Tamandua tetradactyla: one gene and its partners. The protein of the gene in region 4 interacts with the protein of the main gene of each other region in a pairwise test. Links are inferred from orthologs where the notes say so. Each region holds a gene or a part of one and is shown on either strand. Other genes may lie near its edges. The genes, in order: METTL17, LMO1, CEP44 and CBY2.

Evidence for each region.
Region 1: the proteins of CBY2 (region 4) and METTL17 interact in binary tests that used the Homo sapiens proteins (3 or more experiments, as listed by UniProt). The link is inferred for Tamandua tetradactyla from reciprocal best matches to the Homo sapiens genes CBY2 and METTL17.
Region 2: the proteins of CBY2 (region 4) and LMO1 interact in binary tests that used the Homo sapiens proteins (3 or more experiments, as listed by UniProt). The two-hybrid records come from large-scale screens. The link is inferred for Tamandua tetradactyla from reciprocal best matches to the Homo sapiens genes CBY2 and LMO1.
Region 3: the proteins of CBY2 (region 4) and CEP44 interact in binary tests that used the Homo sapiens proteins (3 or more experiments, as listed by UniProt). The two-hybrid records come from large-scale screens. The link is inferred for Tamandua tetradactyla from reciprocal best matches to the Homo sapiens genes CBY2 and CEP44.

The regions. Positions count from the first base shown.
Region 1 is NC_135340.1:35,619,097-35,626,359, forward strand, and holds the start of METTL17 (ribosome assembly protein METTL17, mitochondrial), read right to left. Parts: upstream 3,009-7,263; 5' UTR 2,959-3,008; coding exon 2,878-2,958; intron 2,727-2,877; coding exon 2,573-2,726; intron 2,488-2,572; coding exon 2,356-2,487; intron 1,474-2,355; coding exon 1,392-1,473; intron 1,083-1,391; coding exon 1,001-1,082; intron 691-1,000; coding exon 617-690; intron 161-616; coding exon 66-160; intron 1-65. UniProt on the Homo sapiens protein: Mitochondrial ribosome (mitoribosome) assembly factor. Binds at the interface of the head and body domains of the mitochondrial small ribosomal subunit (mt-SSU), occluding the mRNA channel and preventing compaction of the head domain towards the body.
Region 2 is NC_135334.1:82,441,387-82,448,299, forward strand, and holds the start of LMO1 (rhombotin-1), read right to left. Parts: upstream 3,005-6,913; 5' UTR 2,481-3,004; coding exon 2,456-2,480; intron 1-2,455. UniProt on the Homo sapiens protein: May be involved in gene regulation within neural lineage cells potentially by direct DNA binding or by binding to other transcription factors.
Region 3 is NC_135352.1:38,807,752-38,815,072, reverse strand, and holds the start of CEP44 (centrosomal protein of 44 kDa), read left to right. Parts: upstream 1-4,313; 5' UTR 4,314-4,700; exon of another isoform or gene 4,701-4,879; intron 4,880-4,929; exon of another isoform or gene 4,930-5,224; intron 5,225-7,321. UniProt on the Homo sapiens protein: Centriole-enriched microtubule-binding protein involved in centriole biogenesis. In collaboration with CEP295 and POC1B, is required for the centriole-to-centrosome conversion by ensuring the formation of bona fide centriole wall.
Region 4 is NC_135330.1:112,977,069-112,984,885, forward strand, and holds the start of CBY2 (protein chibby homolog 2), read right to left. Parts: upstream 3,001-7,817; 5' UTR 2,874-3,000; coding exon 2,799-2,873; intron 1,689-2,798; exon of another isoform or gene 1,543-1,688; coding exon of another isoform or gene 1,537-1,542; intron 1-1,536.

The DNA of each region.
Region 1 (7,263 bases), on a different chromosome or scaffold from region 4:
AGTACCCCTTTAATTTCTTAACTTTCTCAACTTTGTAAGAGTCCTTTCTTATATCTTGTCCTTACCTTTCAGTAACCTTTCTGCCAAACCCAACATGGCTGCAGAACTGTCCACACACATATATTCACGTAGGCTCTGACCCCAAGTATTATGCGCAGCCCTAAGATAGCAAAATGTAAATCACCAAATCTCATGACAAAGTATTCTTCCTACAAGAGACTTCTCTACCCTCACCCCAACCCCTGAGAAACAGAGTACTATGCTAAAAAGGTTAGAAAAACTAATAGTTAGTTTATTTCATTTACAACTCCTTAAAAAAAAGGCAGACTCAAAAAACAATTTGTAAACAGAAAAAAATTGATTGATAGTTGAATAATGATCTATACTAATCTTCTTTCTTTTAATCTTTCAAAACATGGGCTTTTTTTCACTTGACATTTCTTTTGTCCCAGTCTACATATTTTCTTCTGCTTTGCCCAACCTGAGGGAAGAAGCATTCTAATTTCCAACTGTTCTGTTCTCCCTCTGCTTCCCCAGTCCCTTGATATCCGAATGGTACAAGTATGACTCCCTAGAGTTAAAATGAGCAGAAACAGGGCTGAAGAAAGTTACTTACCATGTGACAGAACCAGTACCCGAACCAAAATCCATCAAGGTTTGTGGCTGGAACTCTGGGATTCGAGTTCGGATCTGAAGAAATAAATAACACTCTACTCATTTAGGGCCTTGGTAGATATGAAGTAGGGATCATGTTAGAGGAAGTAAGATGTGAATGTCTTTCGAGATTTAATAAAAATTCTTAAGAGAACAAGAAGCTCCTAAAACAGTGGTTGTGAACTTTTCTTGAGTCACAGAAATCTTTTCTATGATAAAAGCTTCAAAAACAAACACACAAAAAATGCACATGAAATGTCCCAAGAATCATTTCCCAAGAACACTACATTAGGAACGAGGAAACTAATGGTAAAAGGGACCAGGTTGGAAACTGAGGAACGTTCACCTCATGGAATGCCCTGGAGACCGCTGCAAAGCCACCATCCAGTCTTGCTGCCATATACACCAGGCTCAGTCTCTCATTGTAGCTGCCAGAAGAATTAGAGAGTAACATTCACTAGGAAAATAACCTCTATCTCACAGTTAATTTCTAGATTTTTAGGAAATGATATCTTTGCAAAAGGCTCTTCCAGCTCACCCTTTTCACTCTTCCACACAAGGGTCCTGGGGAACCTCCCAATTCAGGTAACTTTTTAATTAATTTATATTGCTATTTTACTATTTTATTTTATTTTCCAGGTAACTTTTTTAAAAACTATACTGTGTAATTATACTTCCCCAACTCTCCTTCTAGAGTTGAACTTTTCTCTCTTTTGTAGGCTTTTCGTCCCTCTCACCTCAGTTTTTGCCAGTGGTAGGTAGTTTTGCGCAGGGCACGTAGCACAGCTCCACGAAGTTTCTCCTCTGCCTGGGATGAGTCTGGGGCAAGAATAAGGACTGCAGGTGACAACCTGGGGAAAGCAGGGCTCAGATCCAATAGCTGAATACATTTCTCCCCTACCCCCTGTCCCCACAGGCTCCAAGCTTAAGAAAGAAGTCAAACCTAGAGAAAAATCCCAGGTAAGAACAACAATAACAACAGCCATAGTATATCAGATAGTATTATGTCTCTAATAGTGCTTTATCCAACTTAACCAACCCTATCCCACAGTTTCTGTTCTACATTAAAGTGAAATGTGATAAAGATTTAAAGAATAGGATAAGGATTGTATTTTGTGGATTTTCCCACTTCCCTGAAACTTAAGACTGTGACGTTTCCTATGTTCCTATGGGGAGATAACGGACTGAAAAATCCTAAGTCTCACAATTGTGTTCAGTTCAGTATTATTTGGCAAGTATGTACTGAGTGCCTCCCTGCAGCCAGGTACTGTGGGAAGTGCAGGGAATACAAGAAGAATAAAAAGAAGGTCTGTAATATGAAAGAATTCATGCCAATAACTTGATGAATTATACTTCTCCTATCCCTAGGAGTGTTTCCATAGTAGACAGGGAACCATACAGGGACTTTATTTCACCAGAATAAACACATAGACGGTCCTAGTTCAGTGGACTTGCAGGAAAAAAGCAAAGATCTAGATTTTGACAGAATACTGCCGCACCCTCTGACTTTTACCCAAACTCCAAGGTCAATTTCTGGAATAATCTATTTTCTCTTAGAAAGGCTTTCTTGTAATGACTGCTCTGGCAAGAAAATAAAAAAAAAGAAGCTGCAGTACCTATTTGAGAGACTGTACTTTCTCGCTTTTCACTTTCCACTGACATTTCTATTTGGTCTCTTCTTTAAACATTCTTAAATTCTACCTGCGTTTCCCAGTTTCTTCTCAAGATCTGCTGCCCGTCTTTGCAACTCCTCTGGCTCCACAGGTACATGTCTGCTCCAGAGATGATTGGTCAGCGTTTGTACTTGCTTTTCCATATTTGGTACCGAGTTCGCTTTGCGTCAAAAATTAAAAGTGCAATCATGAGAGGGGGCCTCATCCCTGCTTTTTCTCGGGTCTCCCTTTCCCCCATTACTCACTGCGCAACAGTAACTGCGCAGCATCACTCAGCGCTTGGGGCAGGCTCACACGCGGTAGCTGCAGAATGCCCGGGTGCTGGCGATGGGGCCTGTTTCCCAAAAAATCGGACTTGTTATCCACCTGGGTAACGCAAGGCACGAGGACGGCAAGCGCCTGCAGGCAGAAAAGAAAAGCTCATTACAGGGTAGAAGGGAAGATTGTGGGCACTCAGAAAGGGAGGGGGTGCCGAGAGCACACCTCCTCCGAGCGGAGCTGTTCTCTAGAGATACGGGGTCTCTGGAGAGCAAGGAAAATAGGCGCTCACCCGGGACTGGCGAGCTACTCCAAGGCCGTGGCTCCATCCGCCTAAAGTCGGCAGGACCCTCAATCCACTAGCTGTCGCCATGGCTCCGGAGGCGAACCGGAAACGGAACTGCAGATGCTTGTGACACTCGGGTTCACATCTCCGAGGTGATCATCCGCCGTGTAACGACGGCCTGGGACAGTATCAGCCAATGAGGAGAGCGAGTGCTTGCTAGTAGCCAATAAATGATATTCTTGGGGCGGAAACCGTGCGTAGGCGGGACTTGGGCCGCAATTCCTGCGAAAACAGCCAGAAGCGAGGTTGCGTAGAATCTTGCTGCGGGGTCTGGAAATGGAGGGTGCGTCCGGGCGCGGGTCCTTTGGAGGGGGTCCCTAGAAACGTGGCAGTGACAAGCTAAGACCATTTGTGGATGTGTTAGCAATCTGTACTGCTTGTCTAGAGAATTCTGAGTCTTGTTTGTCTTTTTTTTTTTTTTTTCCGGTTGTGAAAAGGGTAAAATGCAGTGCTGGGAAGACGACCTTAAATACCAGATTTAGGTGACCCACGGTGACAAAAACAGCAGATTCTTTTGTCTCAGTGCTCAGATGACCAATTCCTAAGACACCGGGTTTTTTTTTTTTTTTTTTTTTTTTTTTTTAAAAAGCCTCTTGGGATTTTTATTAGAATTGCATCAAATCATTAGGTCAGTTTATGTATCTTCAGCATAGTAAACATAATATATTCATAATTTTCTACTTTTTTTTTTTTATTAATTAAAAAGGACACCGGGTTTTAAAGAGAGAGAATTTATTTTGCTAGGCACAAGCAAGAGATTACATGGGTTGGTGGCCCAACGTCTGTCTCCCGGAATTTGGGGGGTTTAAGGTTTTTATGGATTTTAGCAAGGGGAGATGAAGTCGTTACAGTTTCAGATAATCAAATCTAAGCAGAAAGGGAGACATTTCAAAAGTTCAAGCTGACGGGGTGCGAGGGTAGTTCAATAGTACAATTGTCACCTGCCATGTGGGTGACCTGAATTGATTCCCGTCTCACGCACTTCTTCCCAAAAAAACAAATAAGCAAACAAAAAACCAACCAAACAAAATTCAACGAATGGTGCTGCAATAGAAGTATACTCATGGAAAAAGAATGTTATGTGACCCTGCCGTGCAGCAGACACGCGCGCATGTGCACACACACACACACACACACACACACACACACGTGCAAGTTGAAAGGAAGGGAGGCAAAGTTACCGTTTCAATAGCATAGTATTCCCGGTACAATGTACAAATATGAAGGGTTGGAACTGATTAATGGCTGACTCAAATTCGTCATTTGCATTGGAGCCTACAAGTTCCTTAAAAAAATGAGTGGAGAAAGAGAGTAGCTGGTTTTACAGTCACAGAGGACATACTGGCTCCATCAATTTTGATGTATGTCTTGTGTGAAAGCTAGCATTTTCACAAAAACTCAACAATTGCTATGCAAATCCCTTACGTAAAACTGTTTTGAGGGCTAAGAGACTTAATGCATTCACTTCCATGCACTTTTTGGACTGAAAGTACTTTCTTCAGAGAACACTATCCTTAACCTAAACCTAACACTAACACTAACCCTAAACCTACAACAACCTCAAAATGAACTAAAAATCCAAACCAACCCAAAACTTCACATCAATCTTAATCCCACCCTAAGCATAATCCAAATCGTAGCCCTAGGTCTAAGCCTAAATCTAACCCACAACCTAACACTAATGCTATTCCTATATGAACCCTAAACTTAACACTGAGCCTAACACTAACATGGATATAATCTGTTTTAAAATCAAGTAATAATAATATCTCCACACATTTCCAAGCATTTTAATGGAAAACAGCATCGCAAAGTAATGTTTCCTAGTAAAATATAAGAACAGTTTGGAAATGTGTTTTGAGAGCTCATTGGCTTACCACCTCCACTCATTTCAAACAATTTTGTGGGTGAAAAGAGAATTTCTGCAGAGCACTCAACTACAGCCATGTGAACCATTACTTAAACCCGTTTTGAAACCTTAGAATTGTCCTGGTTCCATTAACTAGCTTAGGATTTTTTTTTACTAAAACTGCAATATTTCAGAGAACCCTCACCTTAAACTTAACTTATACATAACACTAAAACAACCACAAACACAAACTGAAACCCCAAAGAATCAAGACCTGCACAAATCCCAACCTCCAAACCCAGTCCCCAAATCAACCCCAAGCCTAACTTCAACCCAAACCCTCACCCTAACGCTAACCCTAAAACTAAACCTACTCTAGCCCTAAACCTAGCCCCAACAGAAACCCCAAACCTAACCCTATTGCAACCCCAACACTGACCTAAAACCGAACCCTAACCTTTACATCAACCCTACACCTAACCCCAACCCTAAACCTAACCCTAACCACAACCCTAACCCTAACACTGAGCCTAGCCTTAACATAATTTGTTTCAGAAACTGAGTAATGTACTTGGTCCACATATCCATACTATTTTTAGTGTAAAACAGCATTGTCAAACAATTATCATTAATTCTATTTGAAAAACTCAGTGAATGTGTTTTGAGAACTGAGTGACACACTGGCTATTCATTTTCGTGTATATCTTGCATAAAAATGAGCATTTACACAGAAATCTCAACAATTGCTATGCAAATCCCTTACCTAATACTGTTTTGAGAGCAATGAAACTTAATGGATCCATTCAATTCCATGCACTGTTGGGACTGAAGTTTCTTTCTTCAAAGAACACTACCCTTAACCTAAACCTAACCTAAACCTAACAGTAACACTACCTCTAAACCTACAACAACCTCAAAACTGACAACAAACCCAAACCAACCCGAAGCTTCACACCAATCTTCATCCCACCCTGAGCATAATCCAAATCCTAACCCTAGCCTAAGCCTAACTCTAACCCACAACCTAGCACTAATGCTATCCGTACATTAACCCTAAACCTAAACCTGAGTCTAACACTAACCATTAACATAATCTGGTTCAAAAATCATGTAATAATAAAGTCTCCACACATTCCATGCATTTTTAATGGAAAACTGCATTGCGAAGTAATGTTTCCTAGCAAAATAGGAGAAGAGTTTGTAAACGTGTTTTGAGAGCTTGTTGGCTTACCAGCTTCATTTAATTCCAAGCAATTTTGTCAGTGAAAAACAGCATTTCTGCAGAGCGCTCAACTACAGCTATGCGAACCAGTACTTAAACCTATTTTGAAAACTTAGAATTGTCCTGGTCCCATTAACTGGAATAAGATTTTTCACAAAAAACTGCAATATTTCAGAGAACCCTCAAATTAACTTAACGTAAACATAACACTAATGCAACCACAAACACAAACCGAAACCCCAAGAACCAATACCAGGACAAATCCCAACCTCCAAACCCAGTCCAAAAACCAACACAAACCTAATTTAAACCCCAACCCTCACCTTAACTCAAACCCTAAATCTAACTCTTTCTAACTCTAACCTGAGTTCCTAACTTAACACCAGCCCTAACCTCAACCCTAATCTCAAATCCAACACCAACACTAAGCCCAACCCTAAACTTATCCCAAACCTACAACCAAACCCAACCTTAAACCTATCACTAACCACAACCTAACCCTAACCTAACCCTGACACTAACCCTAACTCTGAGCCTAGCATTAACATAATTTGTTTCCGAAATTGAGTAATGTAACTGGTCCACATACATCCACACATATTTTTAGCGTAAAACAGCATTGTCAAACAAATCTCCCTAATTCTATTTGTAAAAAGTCTGTGAATGTGTTTTGAGAACTGAGTGACACGTTGGCTCTATTCATTTGGATGTATGTCTTGCATGAAAGCTAGCATTTTCACAGAAAACTCAAAAATTGTTGTGCAAATCCCTTACCTAATACTGTTTTGAAGGCTTAGAGACTTGATGGATCCATTCACTTCCATGCACTTTTTGTAATGAAAGTACTTTCTTCAGAGAACACTATCCTTAACTTAAACCTCAACGAAACCTCACACTAACACTACCCCTAAACTTACAACATCCTAAAAACCAACAACAAACCCAAACCAACCTGAAGTTTCACACCAATCTTTTTTTTTTTAGGTGTTATTTATTTATTTATTTATTTTTTTACATGGGCAGGCACCTGGAATCGAACCCGGGTCCTCTGGCATGGCAGGCAAGCATTCTTGTCTGCTGAGCCACTGTGGCCCACCCATTCACACCAATCTTAATCCCACCCTAAGCATAATCCAAATCCTAACCCTAGCCTAAGGCTAACCCTAACCAACAACCTAATATTAATGCTCTCCCTACATTAACACAAAACCTAATCCTGAATCTAACACTAAAATTAACATAATCTGTTTCAAAAACTGTA
Region 2 (6,913 bases), on a different chromosome or scaffold from region 4:
GAGGACACACCCCTTGGGGGCCCTAGGGGCCAAAGCTGCCACCCAGCCTGGGCGGCTGCCTGCTAAAAAAGCACAAGTGCTCAGAAGTTAGGCAGCAGGTTTGGAGGTAAACGTAAATGGGTCCAGAGCTCTCTTCCTCCCCCAGTTGAAGGTGCCACCTTCAACTGAAGATGTCCTGCATCCGGGGGAGGCCAGACGTTAACAGAAAGTGGAGCATGAATTTCTGAGCAGAAAGGCTGTTTTTGAAAGACAGCTCTAGGCTGGACAAGATGAGACAAGCTCTAGGCTGCTCAGGGACTCGGCTGCCTGCCACCTTGTGCTGTAATGGGTCCCAGAGCCCAGTGGCATCAATGGTAGAGGGCACCCTATTGTTTAGGCTGGACAGAGACAAGGGGAAACACTTACACCCAAGGTGGTTAAAGTGAACTGTACTTTGGATACAGGAGACTGTCCAAAATGACCTCCAGAAATCCATTCCCACTCAAGGCTCATCTGGAAGCCCTTGACATTATGGAGCCTGAAGCACCTTGGGGTGCCTGGACATGCAGTTAGTTCCAAGACCTGGGGAGCGGCGGTCATCTTGTTGGCATGAGATGTATCTGCCCGCTTGAGACCACCCATGTAAAGGGCTCTGGTCTTCTGGATTCTTGCCTTAGGCCTGGGGAGCTAAGAATACTGAATAACCCCTAGCTAAAGACAGATCTTAATTTCCACATCTCTCCACAGTGACAGGATTCCCAGACATCAAGAAAGGACCTTCTGCACTGACTTCTGCAAGCCCCTTATTTTATTGAGAAAAAAAATGAAGCCCTGAGGTGGGTGTGACTGGTCTAAGATAACACAGGGGGATGGAAAATGAAAAGGAACTGAATCAAGGCCCCCTTTCTCCCCATCTGACCTGTTCCCAGGCCCCTTTATCCTCTTTTCATTCCACGAAAAACTATATCAGCCCTGTTCTCTGGTGGCCTACTCCCACCTGGGAGGCAGTGCTGGGGTCTCCCCAGAGGGCTCCGTGAATAGAGAACACACAAGATGGTCGTCACACTCCAGCCAGTCTCCGGCACATGGATTCTTTTGGCTAAAAGCCTCAAAACATCTAGCTACCCCTTCCTCTCTGGCTGCACACGTGCTGAGAAATGCCTTTCATGGGCTTACCAGCCACAGGGCTCGCCCACATCCACACCCAGGCCAGACTCTGTGAATGCCTCAGGAGGTGGTAGGTAGGCTGGGGGCTCCGGCACGCAGTAGCAGCAAAGGGTCCTATGTGACCTTGAGCAAGTCCCTTAACTTCCAGATTTCAACAAGTGACTGTGTCCATACCACTGCCCCCATGGGCAGAGGGCACAGTAGAAGATCAGACTGACTCACATGAAACCCACCCTTTCAGTTCCTTACCCGTGGCAGAATGCAGGCAGCAGTGCCGGTGCCAATGATTACATACAGAACTTCCTGGAACACCAAAAAAAAAAAAAAAAAAAAAGCAAGCAACCCTCACCCCCAGGTCAGGAGGGTCTGGGGTAGCAGCCAGGAAACTGTCAATCTCCTGACCTCAAGGCTGAGCTTAGGCCACAGGGCTTCAACTCTTAAGAATGCTGGGATCCCCAACCTCTCCTGAGTGTTCCAGGACACTCACTGCAGGGCACCCCTAGCCACGAAGGCATTAGAATCCGTGGAACCACCTGCTAGTGGCTTCCAGCAGCCATGGGCCCCTCTGATCTCTCAGCACCGCAGATCCCTGGGACACTGAGGCTATTCAAGTCCACGCCACTCCCGCGGGGCTTCACCCGCAAGAGCGCTACTAGCCGGTGGCGAGGCGCTTTCCTCGTCTGGGCCGAACTCCTGCCTGCAAGGCAAGCTCAGGGAGACAGCCGGCCGGAGAGGGGTCTCTCCTCACCGAGTCACGCTAGTGGACAGCGGTCTTCCGGAGGGCCCAGCCGGCCTTGCCCTTGCTTCCCAGGCATCCTGGGCCGAGCGCCGTCCTCTCGCGCGCCCGCTGGCCCCAAGCTCGGAAGTCCGATTCTCCCCGAGGCCGCTGATTTGCTAGGCGCTCAGCGCCTCTTGGGTTACGCGGCGGGCGCGAGGGTTATGGCTGCGGTGAGAGGAGCAGCCGCAAAGACCCACAGCTCTAAGTAAAGCATTACGGCGCCGACAGCCGAGGGGAGCCGGGAGCCTCCACGCGGCCCCGCCGAGCATCACACCGGCCGGCGCACACCTCGTCCGCTCGCGGTCGGACGCGCCGCGGGACGCCCAGGGTCGCGCAGCCCGGGGCTCGCTCAAACCGCCCCCGCCTCCAGTGCCTCCCTGCCCCGCAACCCCAGCCCGCCGCGCGCCCGCCAGGCGATCTGGGCACTGCCCGACATGCGTACGCCTGTGTCCTGGGCATGTGTTTTTTTTTTCAGAGAGCCGCGGCGGGGGCAGGGGGCTACGGGCGTCGGGACCCCCGCCTGCCACCTACCGTCCTCCTTGTCCAGCACCATCATCTCGGGCGCTCCGTGTCCAGCCGCAGCTCAGCTCGGCCGGGAGAAGGGCGCCGACTCCGGGCGCGCTTCGGTGGGGCGGCCGGTCCTCCGGCAGCAAGCGGGCTCTAATTACCCGCTTGTCCGGCTCTTAACCTAGATTGCACTCAGCTAGAATTACATTCAGGAGTGAAGCACTTCGCAGCTACAAAAGCAGTCTCACCTACTTTTGTGCCTCAGAATTGCAAGGAACTACGAACTGCAATTTAGAGAGAGAGAGGGAGAGGGAGAGAGAAGGGGGAAGAGAAGATCAGAGCCGTTTCTTTGATTCTCACCTTCTAAATGGCTCAATTTGCCCAATATAATCTGTCTTAATGTAATTGCATTTGATAGCTCATAACCCTGGCTCTGGCAACGACACAGCTTTCAGCCTCATAAAGTGTTTTCCCCTCGGATTTAATCTGAATCTCAATCTAAAATTATATTCAAAGAGCTGGGAGAATCTCGGCGGCCGTCTCCCGCTGCCTTTCTCCCTCAATGTATGAGGTTTGCACTCCTGCTACTGAATAAATGCACACATTTCTCGAGGACCCCCTCCCTCCCGGGTTAATGGGGAGTGGAGACGCGCGGCTACCCAGCTCCGCAGCGCCACCTCGAGGCCACTCAGCTCTCACTCGGCGCGGGATGCGCTCAAGTTGCCGGGTGCCGGCGAGGCCTCGGATGTTTGTCGGGTTGAAGAATCGGGTCTGTTGCTCCCAGGCCCTCAGCAATAGGGCGCCCTCCTCACCCAGGCGCTCTGCCTCTGCCTCTTAACCCTCCCTTCCTATCTGCTCTGCTCGGGGTTTCTACTTCCCAGATTGCTCCACAAAGCTAACCCACTGCAGGAGAGGACCCTCCTACCCGGAGCCTGCCCAGCACCACCTCTGACTCCAGCAGCTCACCATTGGGGCAGCCTGTTGAACATCTGAGCAAGCAGCCCCAGAGCGTACATGCCTTCGGGCTTTCTCATTTCACAAATATTTGTTGAGTTTGTATTATGTGTCAAGCACTGTTCTAGGCATTCGAAATAAAGCAGTGAAAAACAAACAAACAAACAAAGAATCCTGCTGCTATTACAGAGTTGACAAGTCTTGTTCTGCAACTCAGTGGACAGGAGGAGAGACAGCGTTCATCTGTTCTGCTCCTAGATCCTGCTTCTCTCCAGGGCCCTGGGACTGGTGCCCAGGCTGCCTACTCCAGGAAGGCCACCCATATTCAAATCTCAAGAGTGGTTTTTTTTTCCCCTGTCGGTAAAGAGTTCCAGGGTGGGATGGAAATTGTAATTTTTCTCCAGCCCAACGTGGGATCTAGACAGCTGTGTTGGAGGCTGGGTCCTGGCAGTCACTTCTGGGCCTAGACTCAGGCAAGGAGAAGAAAGTGGAAGTCCCTGGAGGGGTGAAGGGCCACCAGTTGGGATCTCATCCCATCCCTGCCAATTACCAATGGTGGACCTTGACAATTAACTCTCTCTCTGGGCCTCAGTTTCCCTGTTTGTGAGGATTTGCTCTTCCTGTCTCCAAGGTTGCTGTGGGGATCAGAAGAGATGATTAATATGAATGAGTTTTGTAAACTGTGGCACCCTAGACAATGGGGGGTATTATCAGGTACAAAGGAGACCTGGAGGCCAGGCCTTGCCCCTGAAACTCTGGAAGGCCCCAATTCAGGGTGTGTTTGACAGAAGAGGAGTGGGGTGCTGCAGCCCACCCTCCCCTCTCCTACCCAGGGAAGTCAGCTTTGAGGAAACAGAAGAGAGGCTGCTTCTAATGAGATGCCTTATCCGCAGCTCAGAAGGTTACATTTTCTCCTTCATCTTGAATACTTACTTAATCCTAATTGTCCTTGAGTACATTTGATGTTAAATATATCATTTTGCACAGACTTGCCAATCCTCAGGACTATGGGCTTGATCTCTCCCCTGCCACTGCAGCTGGAGTAGTACCCTGAGGGTCTAAGGAAGGCTATGGCACTGCCATTGGGCCACCACTGCCAGTGGCATAGTTAGTGCCAGCTGGTCACCTAGCCTGAGCTGGGGGCCAGGCAGTGTAACAGGCACAGGGCCTGAGAGATTGGAAAGGGGCAGCTTCTTGTGCAGAACCCCCCATGCTACCCAGAGGCACTCATTCCACAAGGGCTGCATCCTTACTCCTAACCACCATGGGCCACTTCTTCTCACTTTCAGGGTCTGGCCCAGACCCACAAACCAGGCTGGCTTCCCACTCTCTTGTCCATATGCTGTGCCTGGGAATCTTCATCCCAATGCCAGCTCCCACCAGTCTCCAAGGAACCAGTTATCAGCTATGCAGCCTGTATACCCTTGGGGAGTCAGGGCCCCTTTCACTGCCAAGCCCTGGACCTGAAGCAGGCCTGGAATGCTCAGCAGTGAGCTGCAGAAGCAGGTAAGGTGTATCAGCATGGGAATGGGGCTGTGAAGGCTCCCAGTGCCCACAGGTGTCTCTCTGCACCACCACCCACGGGCTGTAAGCATGAAGTTCCCAAACTGATCTGGAGCGGGGGTCCACAGCTGGTTTATGGAGCTGCCTGGTGCGCCCCAGAGAGTTTGGATGACTTGAGCTCCCAGCCAGGAAGGGGCCTATTGGGTTGACAGAGCCAGACATAAGCCACACTCATCTGGTGGCTTCCCTACAGCTCCTGGGTAGCTGCTGCGCAGGCAGGTAACCACCCACCGCATGCTCACCCTCACCCAAGCTACTTCCATGTCCTGAGACACACCCACAACACCAGGGAAGAATCCTTGGCTTCCCTGGGGCTGCTCCCAACACATTCCACAGGTGATAAGTACGTACTCTGTATTCTTGCTTCCACCTGCCAAGAATGTTCCAAAACACCCTTGAAATGCCTCTAGGGTCATCAGGGAAGGTCAGCTGATCAGCCCTCAAGGAAACAGTGGGAAGAAAGGGGAGCTAATGTCTGGCCTTACAAAAGTTCTGGGTAGGTCCCAGCAGTTTCTGGCTGCACACAGCAGCAAAGTCCTGAGGAAGTGTTCCTGCATAGAAAGTGGAGAGGTGGGAAGAGTGGGACCCAGGGCCTGAGGCCCCGGGCAGACCAAATATTCCAGAACTGCCTTGGAGAGTGTCAGATGTATCTCAGCCTGAGGGCCCTGCACTCAACACAGTATAGCTGTCTACAAGCTGAGGTTACCAGCCGGCCATAGAGGTAACGTTCAGAGAGGGAGTTGGGGTGACGTGCCCATTCCCCATGGCCACCACAGCTGACAGGAGTGAGCAATCCTACAAACTTTACAATGCAATCAAGATAGATCCTGGCCAAGTTCCTCCCTACTCACACCAAAGCAGACAATGCACGGGAATTTTACAACTAGCTAAAGTGAAGAAATGCATAGTTGGTAAACGTTCCCTCTTGGTTTCTGGGGAGTCCTGGAGAGGAGGCCTTCTCAGAAACTGCAGCCGCAAATTGTTAGGCCTTGTGAGGCCTGGGCCAAATCTGCACCCCAGAAAAGAAGACTACCTCAGCCCTTTGATGAAAGCCAAGCTAGCTTCACACACCAGCCCTGAAAATACTGTGCATGTAGGGTGAGCAACTGTTCAGGTTTGCCCTGGGACTGAACGGTGCAGGATACAAGACTTTCAGTGCTAAAACTGGGACGGTTCCGGACAAACCAGGACAGTCGAGCACCATAGAGACTAATGGAGCCAGAGAGGAAGGCCAGGCAGCCAGATCCTTTCCCTGAAGACCAATAGCTGCCTCAGCCCCAAATATTCCAGTCTCTTGCCCCAGCAGCTTCATTCTCCAGGCATTAATGGGCTGCTTTAACCCCTGGGGACTGCCCACCCCCCAGCCAGGCTATGACTTATCTTGGGAGATCAGCAATTGGAATGGGGAGGACCTGAGTTGGGCCTAGGGGTGGACCCAGATTTTGTGAGGCCCCAAACATATATTTTGCAGCACCCTCTTTAAGAAAAGGAGGGTGAGATTTCTAATGAGATTACTAATGCTAATACAATATTACTACCAGGGATGGACTAAAGGACCCCGAAGCTAAAACTTCACTAGCTTCCAGGTAGATCCACCTTTGGTTGAACCTGATATTTTGGACTATATATGGCCCATCCACATACTGTGGCCAAGGTGCCACCTCCCTACGTGGCTGGACCCCGGTGAACTGACCACCTTCTCCAGTCCTGCCAGGGGCATCGGCATTGTCACCCATCCCTCAGCCCCAGGACTGACACTGGACAGGGACCCCAGGATGACACTGGTCTGGCTGGACCCTCACTTTCAGGTTGGTCGGCAGCGGCTGCTGCCTGGGAGTTCGCGGCGCTCGCGGGAGAGGCGCTCCCGGGGTCCGCAAGGCGGTAGGAGCAGTGAGAAAGTTCCTGGCCGGGAACGTGCTGGGGTGCGGGCTCCAGGTGGCCGGCGAGACTTCCTAATCCCTCTGA
Region 3 (7,321 bases), on a different chromosome or scaffold from region 4:
AATCTCTTGGTAATTGATTACATTTATACTGTGAAATGGGGAAAATGATTTTTTTAACCTACAGGAAAGCCCAGTGAAGACAGAAAATATGCCCATTAAACTGATCATATATATTAAATTATAACGCAAATTTTGGCTTATCTACAAGTTACGACCATACAATGTTTTGTAGAAAGAAGTATTTAAACTGTGTTATTTTCTGAATCATGTTTCAAGTTTTGCAGAAATACAAGCACCCAAAACTATACTGGGTAATTGGCTGTAACCTACTTTAAATCAATGTGTATTACCTGAGAGGAAGCCCAAATTTAAAAGTCAAATTTTAAACACACATCCAGGCTGGTGTCAACACATGAATTATCAGAAATAAACTTGAATAATACTTTATTTAATAGATAAGGGTTTATAACATCTTTCAAACAGTGAAGAAACAAGCAATTTTGCATTGAATCACAGTGAAAATAATGTAAACATGAACCCTGAAGGATGTAATGTTTATTTTAATAAGCTTATATGTTTAATTGACAAAAACTATGTTGGTCATGTGCATTCAGGGAATTCAGAAAGAGGTGATACCTGCCACCTAATAATGTTTAAAAAGAGACATCCAAGACACATTTCTAGTCTAAGACACTCTTCCCTCCACTATTTTATCTCATGACATAAAAGGCTGCCACTGATCTGCATCCTTTCAACTCTTACCTCCAACTCTTTCTTAACTTCTTTCCCCATTAAATGCTACCTTTGCTCATGCGTACTTTGACCTAAATTCAACCATATAAAATGGCAGTAAGGAACACAAATTCTCCAACTGTGAATTGCTCTGCTCATGTGGGCCAAAAAACCCCACACATTCCTCTCACTCACATCATATCCCAAGTACAGTTTCCTAAGAAAAACAGGAAGTGTGCCTCTCTCAAGATAAGTAACAGGAAAAAAAGAAAAAGAAAAAAGGCTTTTTTTTTTTAAAGAGAGATAACGCTAATCAAGTTTATCTTACTTATTTACTTATAATCTGGCATTTCTCCTTGTCTGTCTGCTGTCTTTAGGACACATTTTTGCTAAATTAATCCTGTCTATTTATTCCTAAAAATGATCAACCAGAGTATCTATGTTAGGCCTCTAAGATGGTCCCCAACTATACCTGCCTCCTTAAATTCATGTCCTCGTGTAATCCCCTCTCCTTGATTTTGGGTTGGATTTATTGACTTATTTCTAATAAACACAATAGGGCAGTAGTGATAGGATATCAATTCTGAGATTAGGTCCTAAACAACTGTGGCTTCTTGGGTGCTCATTCCTGGACAGCCTATCTCAGGGGAAGTCAGCTGCCATATGGAGAGGCAGCCCCTGCAGAGGTACACAGAAAATGGGACCAAGGGCCATCAACAATCACATGACTGTACTTGGAAGTGGATACTCCTATCCCTCTGTTGAGCCTTCAGATGAAATCACAGCCCCTACCTATAGTTTGACCACAACCTCATGAGAGAGCTTGAGCCAGAGATACTTTGCCAAGTTGTGCCCAAATTTCTGACCCACAGGAAGTGTGAGATGATAAATGTTTGCTGTCGTAAGGTGCTATATTTTGGGATAATTTGTTACACTGCAATAACTAAAACAGCATCTTAGACAAATTTTCAGAAGGATAACAATGGGAAGTTTCCTACTCAGCCTGACAAACAACAAAATTTTTTCTTTATTCTGACACCCGCTTTTATCATATAGCATTTTCTTAGGTGAAAGAACAATAACAACCAAAAACCTCCTGATTCAGAAATATGATTACCAAACTCATCAAAATTAGGAGAAGGAAAGCTGAAATAAAAATAGAAATTGGGGAAAAACCAATAAGCAAATTTATCTGGAAGGGCAGGGTGCCCCGAATTGCTAAAAACATCTTGAGGAAAAAAAACGAAGCTGGAGGTCTCGCGCTGCCTGACTTTAAGGCATATTATGAAGCCACAGTGGTCAAAACAGCATGGTATTGGCATAAAGATAGATATATCGACCAATGGAATCGAATAGAGTGCTCAGATATAGACCCTCTCATCTATGGACATTTGATCTTTGATAAGGCAGTCAAGCCAACTCACCTGGGACAGAGCAGTCTCTTCAATAAATGGTGCCTAGAGAACTGGATATCCATATGCAAAAGAATGAAAGAAGACCCATCTCTCACACCCTATACAAAAGTTAACTCAAAATGGATCAAAGATCTAAACATTAGGTCTAAGACCATAAAACAGTTAGAGGAAAATGTTGGGAGATATCTTATGGATCTTACAACTGGAGGCGGTTTTATGGACCTTAAACCTAAAGCAAGAGCACTGAAGAAGGAAATAAATAAATGGGAGCTCCTCAAAATTAAACACTTTTGTGCATCAAAGAACTTCATCAAGAAAGTAGAAAGACAGCCTTCACAATGGGAGACAATATTTGGAAATGATATATCAGATAAAGGTCTAGTATCCAGAATTTATAAAGAGATTGTTCATCTCAACAACAAAAAGACAGCCAACCCAATTACAAAATGGGAAAAAGACTTGAACAGACACCTCTCAGAAGAGGAAATACGGATGGCCAAGAGGCACATGAAGAGATGCTCAATGTCCCTGGCCATTAGAGAAATGCAAATCAAAACCACAATGAGATATCATCTCACACCCACCAGAATGGCCATTATCAACAAAACGGAAAATGACAAGTGCTGGAGAGGATGCGGAGAAAGAGGCACACTTATCCACTGTTGGTGGGAATGTCAAAGGGTGCAACCACTGTGGAAGGCAGTTTGGCGGTTCCTCAAAAAGCTGAATATAGAATTGCCATACGACCCAGCAATACCATTGCTAGGTATCTACTCAAAGGACTTAAGGGCAAAGACACAAACGGACATTTGCACACCAATGTTTATAGCAGCATTATTTACAATTGCAAAGAGATGGAAACAGCCAAAATCTCCATCAACAGAAGAGTGGCTAAACAAACTGTGGTATATACATACGATGGAATATTATGCAGCTTTAAGACAAGAGAAACTTATGAACCATGTAATAACATGGATGGACCTAGAGAATATTATGCTGAGTGAATCCAGCCAAAAACTAAAGGACAAATACTGTATGGTCCCACTGATGTGAACGGACATTCGAGAATAAACTTGAAATATGTCATTGGTAACAGAGTTCAGCAGGAGTTAGAAACAGGGTAAGACAATGGGTAATTGAAGCTGAAGGGATACAGACTGTGCAACAGGACTAGATACAAAAACTCAAAAATGGACAGCACAATAATACGTAATTGTAAAGTAATCATGTTAAAACACTGAATGAAGCTGCATCTGAGCTATAGGTTTTTGTTTTGTTTTGTTTTGTTTTGTTTTGATTTTACTATTATTACTTTTATTTTTTTCTCTATATTAACATTCTATATCTTTTTCGGTTATGTTGCTAGTTCTTCTAAACCAATGCAAATGTACTAAGAAATGATGATCATGCATCTATGTGATGATGTTAAGAATTAATGATTGCATGTGTAGAATGGTATGATCTCTAAATGTTGGGTTAATTTCTTTTTTTCCGTTAATTAAAAAAAAAAAAAAAGAGAAGGGATAAAAAAAAAAAAATAGAAATTGGGTTCACTTTGTAGTAATATAGGTCACGATATATTCATTCATTCAGGAGAAACACCTAAGATCCCTGAATTTAAAAACTGCACTTGTAAGACAAGTAGACACAACATGTTGCTACATATATGAAAACTTAAAAATGAAACAAAAAAATTAAATGACCGAGGAATAGGATTCATCTATGTAATTTCGTCCAGTGAATATTTACTGAGCACCAACTATGTAAGAGATTAAACCCCAATCACAAAATAGCAAATAAAGAGGGAAAATTAAGTTTCCAAACATTTGTAACCAAAGTTTGGCGGCTGAAGCAACTGGCAATCTCGTTGTGGCCCTAACTGTATGTTTGCATTCATATGTACTCGAAAGTATGTAAAGAACCAAAAAACTGTGGTTGTTAACCAAAACAACATTCTAACACCCGAAAAGTAACACTTGGGCCGGAAGAGAGTCCTCGACGTTTCTCGGCTTTATTTCAGGATGACGCCTGGTCACCACCTGGGGTCCCAAGCTCACCCACACCCCAACTGGCCTCGAAACAAGGCACACCCCTCCCGCCTCCTGGCAGTGATTCCTCACTTTAATAAGCCATCACTGCTGTCACTCAAGATGCTTTGCACTACCATTGGTCCCAAACTCTTACTGGTCGGCAAGTTTCTGCCAACTGGCAAGCACTGACTGCCTTTATTTTCGAGAAGAAAGGTGCACGGGGAAACGAGGCAAGAGAACTTGACGTCTGTGGGCTGACGCTTGTACCTGAGTGACCCGCGATCCCCACCGCCGCCGCGACGACTCGGCCTCTGGGCGGGGGCTTGTAGCCTGAAGGGAAAGGGCTCAGCCGGGAACTGGTGCCCAGGCCATGGAGACGCCGGCTCAGAGTTTACTTGCCCACGCCGGTGGAGGCGACGGCTGGGAGAGGACCAGAGACAGCCTAGATCCCTCCGAACTCCGGGTACCTCAAGCTGCAGCAGCCCGAGCTGCGGACTGGCGGAGTTTTGACGTTTCCTATTGTTGCCGGAAGTGACGTGTCGGGCTCGGGCCCTTAAAGAAGAAGCATTTTTATCCCCGCCGGGTACGATTCGCTATAGATTCCTTGTGTCTCAGTCGGCAGCCCGAGCCTCTCTGCCGACCATCTAAAATGATACCGACTTCTCCACTGCACCTTGTGAAGGGCGGAGCCATTGCGAAGGTTCTCAGCCGAGTCCCTGCCCGGAGGGGTGTGGGCAAACCGGCTGTGGAATCTGCAGCGAGGTATCCGAACGCGCGGAGCAGCTGCAGCGCCGCAGGGCTGGCGGCGGGTCGCGGCGCGCTTCGAGCGGTCGGTCCGGATCCAAACGGTCGGCGCGAAGAGCGCGCCTGGGTGCGGCGCCGGGCCGCTGGGACGCGTCGCTGGAGGCCGGGCCGGGGTTTCGTCGCCGTCTCCACGTGCTCCCTCCCTCTCTCCGGGAGGTGCGGGGCCGGAGGCCGGCGAAGCCCTCTTCCATGCTCGCGGCTGCTCGGGGAGCCCGGGGGGCCGGCGAGGCTGCGCCCTAGTCGGACACAGGTCGCCTCTCTCGCGTTCTCTTTCCGAGGCCCCAGGCGGGGACGCACGACCAGGTCTGCCTTTTCATCCTTTTCCGTCGGGCGGAGGGAGGGGAGCCCTAGATGTGCCTTGTCCCCACCAGACGACGCGGCAAGACTCGTGCCGGCTCGCCCTCGGCTCGCCCTCGGCTCGCCCTCCCCGCTTAGGTTGTGACTTCAGGGCTGGCGGGTTGTCGCCTGACTGGTTCCTCCCGTCGGATCATCGGAGTCCAGGGGCGATGTGGCTTTTCGCAAATACTGCCCATAAGGAAGAGGAAGGAGCGCAGTCTGCTTTCCTTCCTTGCATTTCCCTGGTGTTTCGACTATTTGTTCACCTTCCTAGAGGACTGCAGATTTTCCCCTACCATGGAAAGTTAATTAATCCTTTTTTAAAATTCTGGAATCATGGCTGTAGTATGCAATTTTTCTAAAATCAGCCCCAAAACTTTTAACAGCTCTGAAGACACCACTGCCCCAATGAGTTCTGTCTTGACCCTTACTCACATTGTTTCTTTCCAGTTTTCTTAATGTTTTCCCTTTCTCGCGCTTAGAACAGTATTTCCCTAATATATTTTAAGGGTTTCGTAAACTTAATTTTCCTCCTCTTTACCTCCCTATTTTTTCCTTTTTTTTATTAGAGACGTTGTAGGTTTACAAAAAAACCGTGCAGAAAATACAGAGTCCCCCTGTACTCCCCGGATTAATGGCATTAGTATGGTAGTCCATGTTGCAATTGATGAAATAATATAATTGTAACTGCAGTATTCACCACTATTAATAGTCCGTAGTTTACATTAGGGTTCGCTGTACTGTCTTACCCCTTCATTTTTATATCCAGTTTTTTAGGTATTATCCACCTTTATGGGTTATATCACAAGTCTTATTTACAGTGTAGTTGCATTCTAAAAAAAATCACTTTGAGCCCGGTGGCATTCATTTGGGAGGCATCATTTTCATGCCTTCTAAAAATAATGAGATTAAGCCAGGTTAAGAATCTTTAATCTGCTCTAGTATACCACTTGTCCTGCCTCACACTTAGGAAGTTCAGTGCAGCTCTGACTTGTAGGCAGACTTCTTTGGAGGAAGCTGGAAAGCAATTTTGAGATCTTGATTGAATCTAAGTTGAGTAATATCTCCTTTCTGCTTTTAATTTCTTTTGATAAGGGTTATGAAGTGAAAATATTAATTTTTAAAGTAAATTATTTTTCTTCTCTGAAAATAAAGTGTTAATTCTGGTGCTTTTCAGTTTTATGATAAATCTAGTCAAGCCATTCATGAAAATGTAGGCCAGTAGCTGTAATTTTTTTCCCCTTGCTTTTGGAGAACTGTTTTTTCCCCTATAATGCTCAGATATATTTAATCCTTTTGCCTTTTCTATCCTGTTTTGTCACTTATCTCTTTCACCTACAGATCCAAGCTGTACTTGGATCTTACTTTTCTTCAAAATATTTATTCTGCTGGTAATGCAAAGGATGTGTTCCAGGGACATACATTGTTGTCAGAAATTCCATTACCAGAGGTAGAAATAACATATGAGGCACTTAAATGTGTTCCAGGACATCAGAAAAAGGAAAAATGAAAAGTTACCATAAAAAGTTAAGCATAATTACATGTGCTGGAAAGATGGACTATATATCTTGAAGGATTAAAGGAAGTCTGAAAGAGATATAATTTATCTTAAAGTTATAGAATGTTTTAGGGGAAAAAGGCACCCTTAAATGAATTACGTTAGGACAGATGGCTCTGGAAAACAAACTCAGACCTACTATATTGGCCGGTGGCAACACCCATTAGTAGGTTTCAACCAGATTAGTGTCCCAGTAAAGGAAAGGTTGGTCTTGGGAGATTTAATTGTTCATCAACTCCAGTCATCTTTCAAGATGTTAAATAGTACCTTCTTTGCTAGTATTTTGTTTATAGTGTGAATGCAGGATCACTTCTTTGTTAGTTATCTCCTGTCTGATTATATCTGAAATTTCCATGACTAATGTTCTATGCATGAGTGTATAGAAGTAATTTAAATAATATTTTTATTGTTTTGATGAGGAGGAAACTAGAAGCAGGAAGATTCTGCATTTCTAAAGAGAGGGAACACTGGTCATTCTACCATGAGGAAAAGAGTTGAGAAATGGG
Region 4 (7,817 bases):
GTTAATAGAACTACAACGCGAACAGTAAAGAGGATAAAGAAGATGTCACACATGGTAGCTTTGGCTAGCTGTTTTGACACAGAACCTAAAATCTTCATCGCAACAATTACTCAGTTTGGCAGAGCTCCAAGTACTCTCAATGGGCTTCCACAGTTTCTCAAGAACAAGCCCAAACTAAGGGACACTGAGGTATGAGGGGGCATTGCAGCGTGCTGTGGGAGCTCATTCTGATCTGGCCTAGCCCCTTCGTTAATGATCTAGGAGTAAACAAAGCCCTAATGAAATTCACAGATATGGCTCATTGGGGAAATGTGGAGAATGCCCACGAGAACTGAATCGTTAGGTACACAAGGAACTGAGAGGTGAGCCAGCTCGGGCAGCAAAAAACAGCAGTGGCTTGCAAGTTGCTGTGCTGGAGGGAAACACAAATATTTAACGTGCGGAAGAAAAACTGGAAATCGGTAAGACCTGAAAAGACCTCAGGGTGATAACAAATATGCTTCAATGGCATTTGCAATGTAATTGAGAAGGCTGAACGCCCAGCATGATTAGGAGCTGGGAGGCCAGACACACTTTCTGGATGAGCAGAACTGCTGCAGCATTTCCTCCCAGTAAAGCAAACACATTCAGTTCTTGAGTAGAGCAGCAAGTCGCAGATGTATGCGTGGAAGTCTGTAGGAGCAGTTAAAATGGTAGAAGAGGAGGTACTGTCTCCTAAAAGCAAGGGTAGAATCTCAGGGCTGAAGCAGGACCTGGCTGAGGGATCAAACCCTGGGGTTCCCTGGGATTCCTGGGAATTCCAGTTCCCACACCAATAAAATATCTACCTCCCACCCGCCTGGCCCCGTGATCACGTAACCAGATTAGTGCTCAATCTAGTTTCCCAGATGAGTCCTTTTGCCCAAAACTGACACCAACTCATTTTCTGTAACAAACACTCAAAGTATTTTGGGGAGGTAGAGTGAGCATGCAGGTCCCTCTCACAGCCCCAGGGGTAGAAGCTGCTATTGATTTGAAGATACAGCTGCCCACACCCCTGCTCCAGAGCTCATGCCTAGAGCACCCAGCAGGTATCTGAAACGTGGCTTGTGCCCTCTCTGTAAGTCCTGCAGTCAAGGAGATGAGCAGCTCCAGAATAAACTGGAGCCCTTTCCCCAATCTCATTATCACATGACCACTACAATGCTTTCAAATCCAATTCCCACACCCCCTCACTCCCTCTACCCATCCCTTAGTAATGCTGAATGATTTACTGGGACTGAAAGAACCAAAGGAATTCAAGGCAGGAACTACACATGACTTTCAAGTGGAATGAATTAGCCCTAAAACAAAATTCCCACACTTTGTAGGAATACTATTGGTAAGTCATCCTGGCCAGTGACCAAGAGTAAGTTACATTCCAGAGTTGAGCTTCATGAGCTGAAATGGATGTTCATTACAAAATGATAAGGCCCATGTAAAAAGAAATATCCAGAATATTTTCTTGCTCTACATTTTTCCCACCTGCTGAACACATGTGTAAATTGTTACAATTACCTCCATCTACAGAAACAATGCTGCAAGTTTCTCTCTCTAAATGTGTTGTTCTGAAAATTCTGAGGAAAGAGGTAGCATTAAGAAAGAAACAAGTGAGGACGTCCATTGGCCGTGGGATCTTCCTCTCCTACCTTCCCTGACAGTATTCAGGTAGTTACCTTTTCATTTGATTCTTCCACCCTACATTTCAGCCCCTCTGGCTGCACAGACATGGTCTTCAAGCTGGGTCTTAGGTAAGTCTGGAGATGCAAGGCTGACCTTTGTGACATAGCAGCATGTGGAAACAGCCCAATCAAGAGGACTCCACCAAGGAAACAGCTGCTTAGCAGATGGAGACCTGGACATCTCAGGTCTTTCAGGACTTGACCAACTGATCTGCCTCTCTTCTGAATCCCTCTGGAAAACACATCCACCTCCCTTAAGCCCTCTGTCTTGGGTATGTAACAGAGCTTAATTTTCTTAACAACTCCAAATGACCTGGTCCCCTTGATGTGTGTACTAGATTTTCTTCTCATGGATGACTTCATATGATTTGATTCTGAGACCTGTCTCAAATCTGACCCCAAGAAATCAGAGTGGTGGCCCAATGGCAAACACCAACAAATTTCATTTAGAGAAGGTTGGGTCATTTCAAAGTACAAGAGAAGCTGGAAATGTTAGTGCTAGAAGGTCTTAATGGGCTTCCCAGCACCCTCATTTGAAGGAAGATGAACCCAAGGTCCAGAGTGGCTAAGTGGCCTCTCCCAGGCACACAGCTGGTTGGAAGCTGCCCTGGAAGTAGAACCTCAGACCTTGACTACTCTGCTTGTTCCACAACATCATGCTAGAGTTTTGAAGGAGAAGAGCTATTCTGGCTAAAACTGACGGGTTACGTCCTTCTGTGATAATCTCTACCTGAGGTAGAAACACACTGATTGGAATTTCTAGGCTTTCAGATCTGGGATCTCTTTGTCTTGTAAAATTTGGACTTAATAGAAAAGAGAAAATAAAATGATTTCTGCTTCCCAGCCCATCCTCTGGGCAGCAGTTGTTAACCTGAAAAGCACAGGACTTTCTGCTCATTTATTGCCCTGCTGTCAGTCATCTGCATTATGAACATCTGAGTCTGAAGGAACGTGTGCATGATATCTGATAAGATGCTTTATCCATCTCTGAGCAGAAATTAAGATGTAAAAGCGTTCCAAAAACCTTTGAAGCAGGGAGAACTATGCCTACTTCTTGGTCTGAAATTAGTATGTCTATCTCAAGAATAAAAGCCATACCAACGTGAGGTGCCAGGTATAGGTCCTATGCAGAAGTTGGTCACCAAAACACTCAGAACATTCCAGAGGTGACATCACAAAACAATACGGTGTTTTTCAGCGCTCATGGTTTCCTGTGAGCGTCACAGGTGGCAGTGAGGCATCTGAGCAGCAGGAAGAGCTCAGCCCTGGCTGTGTCTGCAGGCCGGTCACGGTCAGTGTGACACACAATAGCCCAAGCACCAGCCCCCTGTTTGGTCACCCCAGCCAGGGTGACTCACATCCCCTGCCAGGCTGAGCTGAGACCCCTTTCCTCTCTCTAGAGGTGGGTGTCTTCTACTCGGAGTTGGGTTACTAAGAAGGAAGAAACCCAAAGTGAACTCTGCCTGGATCACGGAAGGAAATGTAGAAACCAAGTCGCGGCCACGCTGCTGGTATTAGGGCTTCATGAACAGGGCAGCTCAGACCCTCTGACCTCAGTTCTGTCAAATCAGTTGCCCCTCTCTAGGATCTGTTCGTGGGAACCCTCCTGATTATTCTTATAACATAAGAATAATCTCTTCTTAGCCAGAGAGTCCCGATTCCACATTATTATGCAATTTTCAGGGAAAAAGAGTGGTGGGTCAGGGTCAGCAAGGCCAGAGACACTATAACTGCTGTCTGAAGTTTCCCACACCCCATCACAAGCAAGTTTTTTTTAAGAAAATCCAATGTGCAAAAATTAAAGAATATACTTATGGTAAAATCCAGAGGGTAATCAATTGCATTGTCAAACTTTACTCATTTTGCAAGGAAACTTGTCTTGGGTTCTTTTAAGCAGTTCACTGTCAGATTGCCTAAAAACACATTTCAGCTGTATACATATTTTCACAATATACATTAAAAGCAGAGAAGCCAGAACAAGAATATTCACCTATGTATCCACCTTAAGTGGAGCTATAAAAATCAGGAAATGTGGCACTGATATAAAGTTATAGTCTATATTCCAAGTTTTTCATATGTCCCAATAATGCCCTTTTGGGCCTTTTATCCTCCATGTTAGATCCAGTCCAGGTGACATAGTGCATTTAGTTGTTTTTGTCTCTTTAGTTTCTCTTGTTCTTAGAAAGATACAGGGATGTGTTTGGTATTCAAGGAGTATGATGTATACAATCTACTCTCAAATATTTAGAAAACAGATGAAAAGATGGAGGGGGTAGATAGAATGATACAAAAAATGTGGCAAAATGTTCAAAATTGTTGGATCTGGGTATCTGAGTAAAGGGTACGCTGGAATTCTCTGTTTGGATTTTGCATTATTTTTGCAACTATCCTATAAGCCTGAAATTATTTCAAAATAAAAAGTTTATTAAAAAGAATGCAGACCCAAGGGCAATGTGATGTCACCAGTGCCCAGAGATCCTCATGGGGCTGTGTGGTCAAGGGGTCATGTTTTTCGGCAGGCCCTGCTCTTTGTGGTCTCCCACCTTCCTCCCCTCTGCCATGGTCCTTTGCCTTTTTCTGCCTAAAGCCTGATTCTGGGTGAAGGGATAGTGCCAGATCCTTTCACGTCCCACAATGAAACGCGCTGCCCCACCATATCTATGGGTGATGAAGACCCTCAGGATGAAACTTTGGCTCCCTCTCCAGTTTTGTCAAAGGCCATCCCCAACCTGTCTTGGGAAGGGGCATTGCTAAAGGAAAGAATGGGAATGTATCCACAAACTGCCCTGTTTCCTTAGCTGTGATTTAGAGTCCCAGGGCTGTCCTACCCAGAGCAGTTTCTCAGGTATGGGGGTGTACCACAACAAGATGGCTTTAAACTACAAAAATTTGCTCTCTCACAATTCTGGAGATCAGGGTGAGTTCTTCCTGGATGCTTCCGGTGGCTGCCAATGATCCTTGGTGTTCCTTGGCTCGTAGAGCAAACTCCGCCTCAGTCTTCCCATCTCCTTCTCTTGCATCTTCTCCCCTTTTTGCCCCTCTAAGGACACTTGCATTGGACTTAGGGCCCACCCTAACCCAGGATAATCTTGAGATCCTTCACTTAACTGCATCTGCAATGACCCTTTTGCAAAGATCTATCTTTGAGGGGAGGGCCACAATTCAACACACAACGACATGGAAAGAGCTCTTCTTACTGAACCTAAAAGAATAAATGAGGCTCCAGGTAGAAAGGTCTGGATGCCGGCATCATGCAAATCTGGGGCCCAATAAACAGTTACTTACTGGGTGACATGGGTAAGGTCCATGGCCTATTAGAAGCTTCAGTTTCCTCATCTTTAAAATGGGGAGGTTACATTTAAGCATAAGGTTCCAGGCACATAGTATGTTCTCCATAAAGAATGTTTTGTTGCCCTCACATAGCTCATTGCCTTGCTCCCTTTGACTCAAAAATTTCAGTCAGCTAATATACAATTGGTGTTGCTGTTAAAAGGTGTGAAAAGTCAATGCTTAAATCGCAGGGAGTTTTATTTGGGTTGATAGTAAAGTCTGGGTAATGGATGGTGGTAATGGAAGCACAGCAGTGTGAACATAATTAGCAGCACTGAATTATGTATGTGAATACGGTTCAAGGAAAAGTTTTAGGTTTGTATACATGTTATTAGAACAAAAATTTTTTAAAAATCCATAAGACTGTACAATACAGTCAGTGAATCCTATTGTAAATGATGAACTAGTTATTATTACAATTATAAAAATATTGATAAAAGGGCGGGCCGCGGTGGCTCAGCGGGCAAAGTGCTTGCCTGCTATGCCGGAGGACCTCGGTTCGATTCCCGGCCCCAGCCCATGTAACAAAAAACGGAAAAACAAAATACAATAAAACAAGAAAATGTTTAAAGATGTTTCCCTTTCTACCTTCCTTCCTTCCTTCTATCCTTCCTTCCTTCTCTCTGTCTTTCCTTTAAAAAAAAAAAAAAAAAAAAAAAAAAAAAAAAATATTGATAAAAATGTTTTTTCATGATTGTAACAAAGGTACTAATGCAACGTGTTAATAATAGGGTGATCTGTGGGAACCCTGTTATTCTATGCATGATTTTTATGTACACCTACAACCTCTCTAATTAAACAAAAACATTTTTTTAAAGGCATAACCCTGCAGCTTGTGTGGCATCTTGTTTGTTTGGTTGATTCAATTGTATTTAGTTTTTAACAGGAGGAGCATTTCAGTTGGGCCAACCTGCAACCAGCATCTCCAGTTGCACATTAGCTGGGTTCCTTCCTCTTCTGCAGGACACAAGCATCCATAACCTAGTGCTCAGAAGCTTCCTTCAGATGGTGCCCAAAAATGCCTGCTATTACTCAGATTAACATGGTCATCAATCATCCACGTTCAGTGAACAACCACAATTGGCCGCTAAGCAGGGCATGGAGGTAGACATGACTTGTGGGGTTTTAATCTAAACAGACAGGTTAGGCAGCAAGAGGAAAGGGCAGGCAGGCATCCGAGACTCTCCAGACTTCCCTAGCCTGTGACTTTCTGAAGATGAACCACACAAGGAAATACAGCCAGCAGGAGGGTCTGTTAAAGAGGGTGGGACCTCTGCCCTTCCCCAGAGGGATAAAGGAATAAAAGCTCTTGGAACTGGATTCCAAGGCGTGCATGGGGTTTCCATTTTAACCTTTCTTTCCTTTTCAGTTGTGAAAGTAGGGAAGGAAAGGGGGCATTGTAAATATCATGATGCTTACAACCTCCAAATTGCAGGAAGTGATTAGGAAAATTTATTTTTGCTATGTAGGACAGAAGCTAGGTGTCATCTGGAGCTGGAGAAGCAGCCCAAGTAGAGTGAGAACTTGGGCAAAACTGCTCCCAGAAAAGGCCAACACCCCTTATCTTCTTTTGATACAGAAGGCAGCAGCCAGGGAGTCCATTGAAAGAGTTGGAAAGCCTGTGGGGCAACAAATAAAGATCACCTATTGGAAAAGTCTGGGAGTGGAAGGAAGTAGGAAAATAGGATGACAGCTGTCAAGGGGTGACTATGTGAGATGAACAGTTGTTATAAAAGAAACACTCACATTCACAGAATTATCAAAATAACCACTGGAGGTGGATGACACTGGCAAGTGGAATAGTTGGTACTCCCAGTTCAGATTCAGCCAGGAGAGTAAGTCTTGGTGAAGTCAGAGAAGAGGCTATGCACAGGATGGGCTCCACTGAGAAACATCCAAACCTGGGGGCTCTAGAACTTTGTGCGATTACAGAACTTTCATTCTTGACTCTAGAAACAAACAGAAATTTCCCCAAAGTCTTGACATTTTCTAAATATTATTTAATTTACTCACTTAAGCCAAGAGTAAAGTGCAATCAAAAGACTTCCGATGGAGAAGACTTTCAGTCTTCTAAGACATGTTCTTTCATTTTGGAAAAATTCAAGTGAGGTAACTGGGGACGTCTTGGTAACTGTCTCCCTCTGAAATGAATATTGGTCATGGGAGGGCACACCAAAAGCCCTGGAAATGGACACTCACAAATGAAGAGGCAGGCACAGCTCTACTCCACTCCACTCTAGACTGACAGGGCCAAAATTGAAGGCTTTGTTTATTAAGACAGCTGTAATCATGATTTATGCGACTCTGTACATTTTACTCTAACCAAAATTAAAAGTCATCAAATTAGTTAAGTGTGTAATCCCCTAAATTAATTGTCCATTAGAAGCTCTTTAATGATAATGGAATGCTTACCAAATAATTTGTGACCTCTGAATAGTACCTAATAAATTGACTAAAGTATTCTTCAAGAAGTAAGAAAAGTCCTCAGTGAGTTATAATGAGTTCAGTTCTCCAAAAAGTGGGTCTAAGACTGGACTTGCACTGCCCTGAGGAAGGACAATCTCTTAAACTTACCATGTCAACAGAAACATTCACCTCCACAGCTGGCCACCATTGCAGGGGTAATTGTAAAAGCACGGACTCTAAGTCAGAGCACCTAGGGTAGAATCCTCTTTCTCTCCTCTGTTAGTTGTGTGATCCTCACTAAGCCTCGGTTTCTTTTGTAATAGGCTGGGCTTGACAGTTCTTACATTGTAGGGTTGTGGTGAGGTTTGATTTAGATAACAC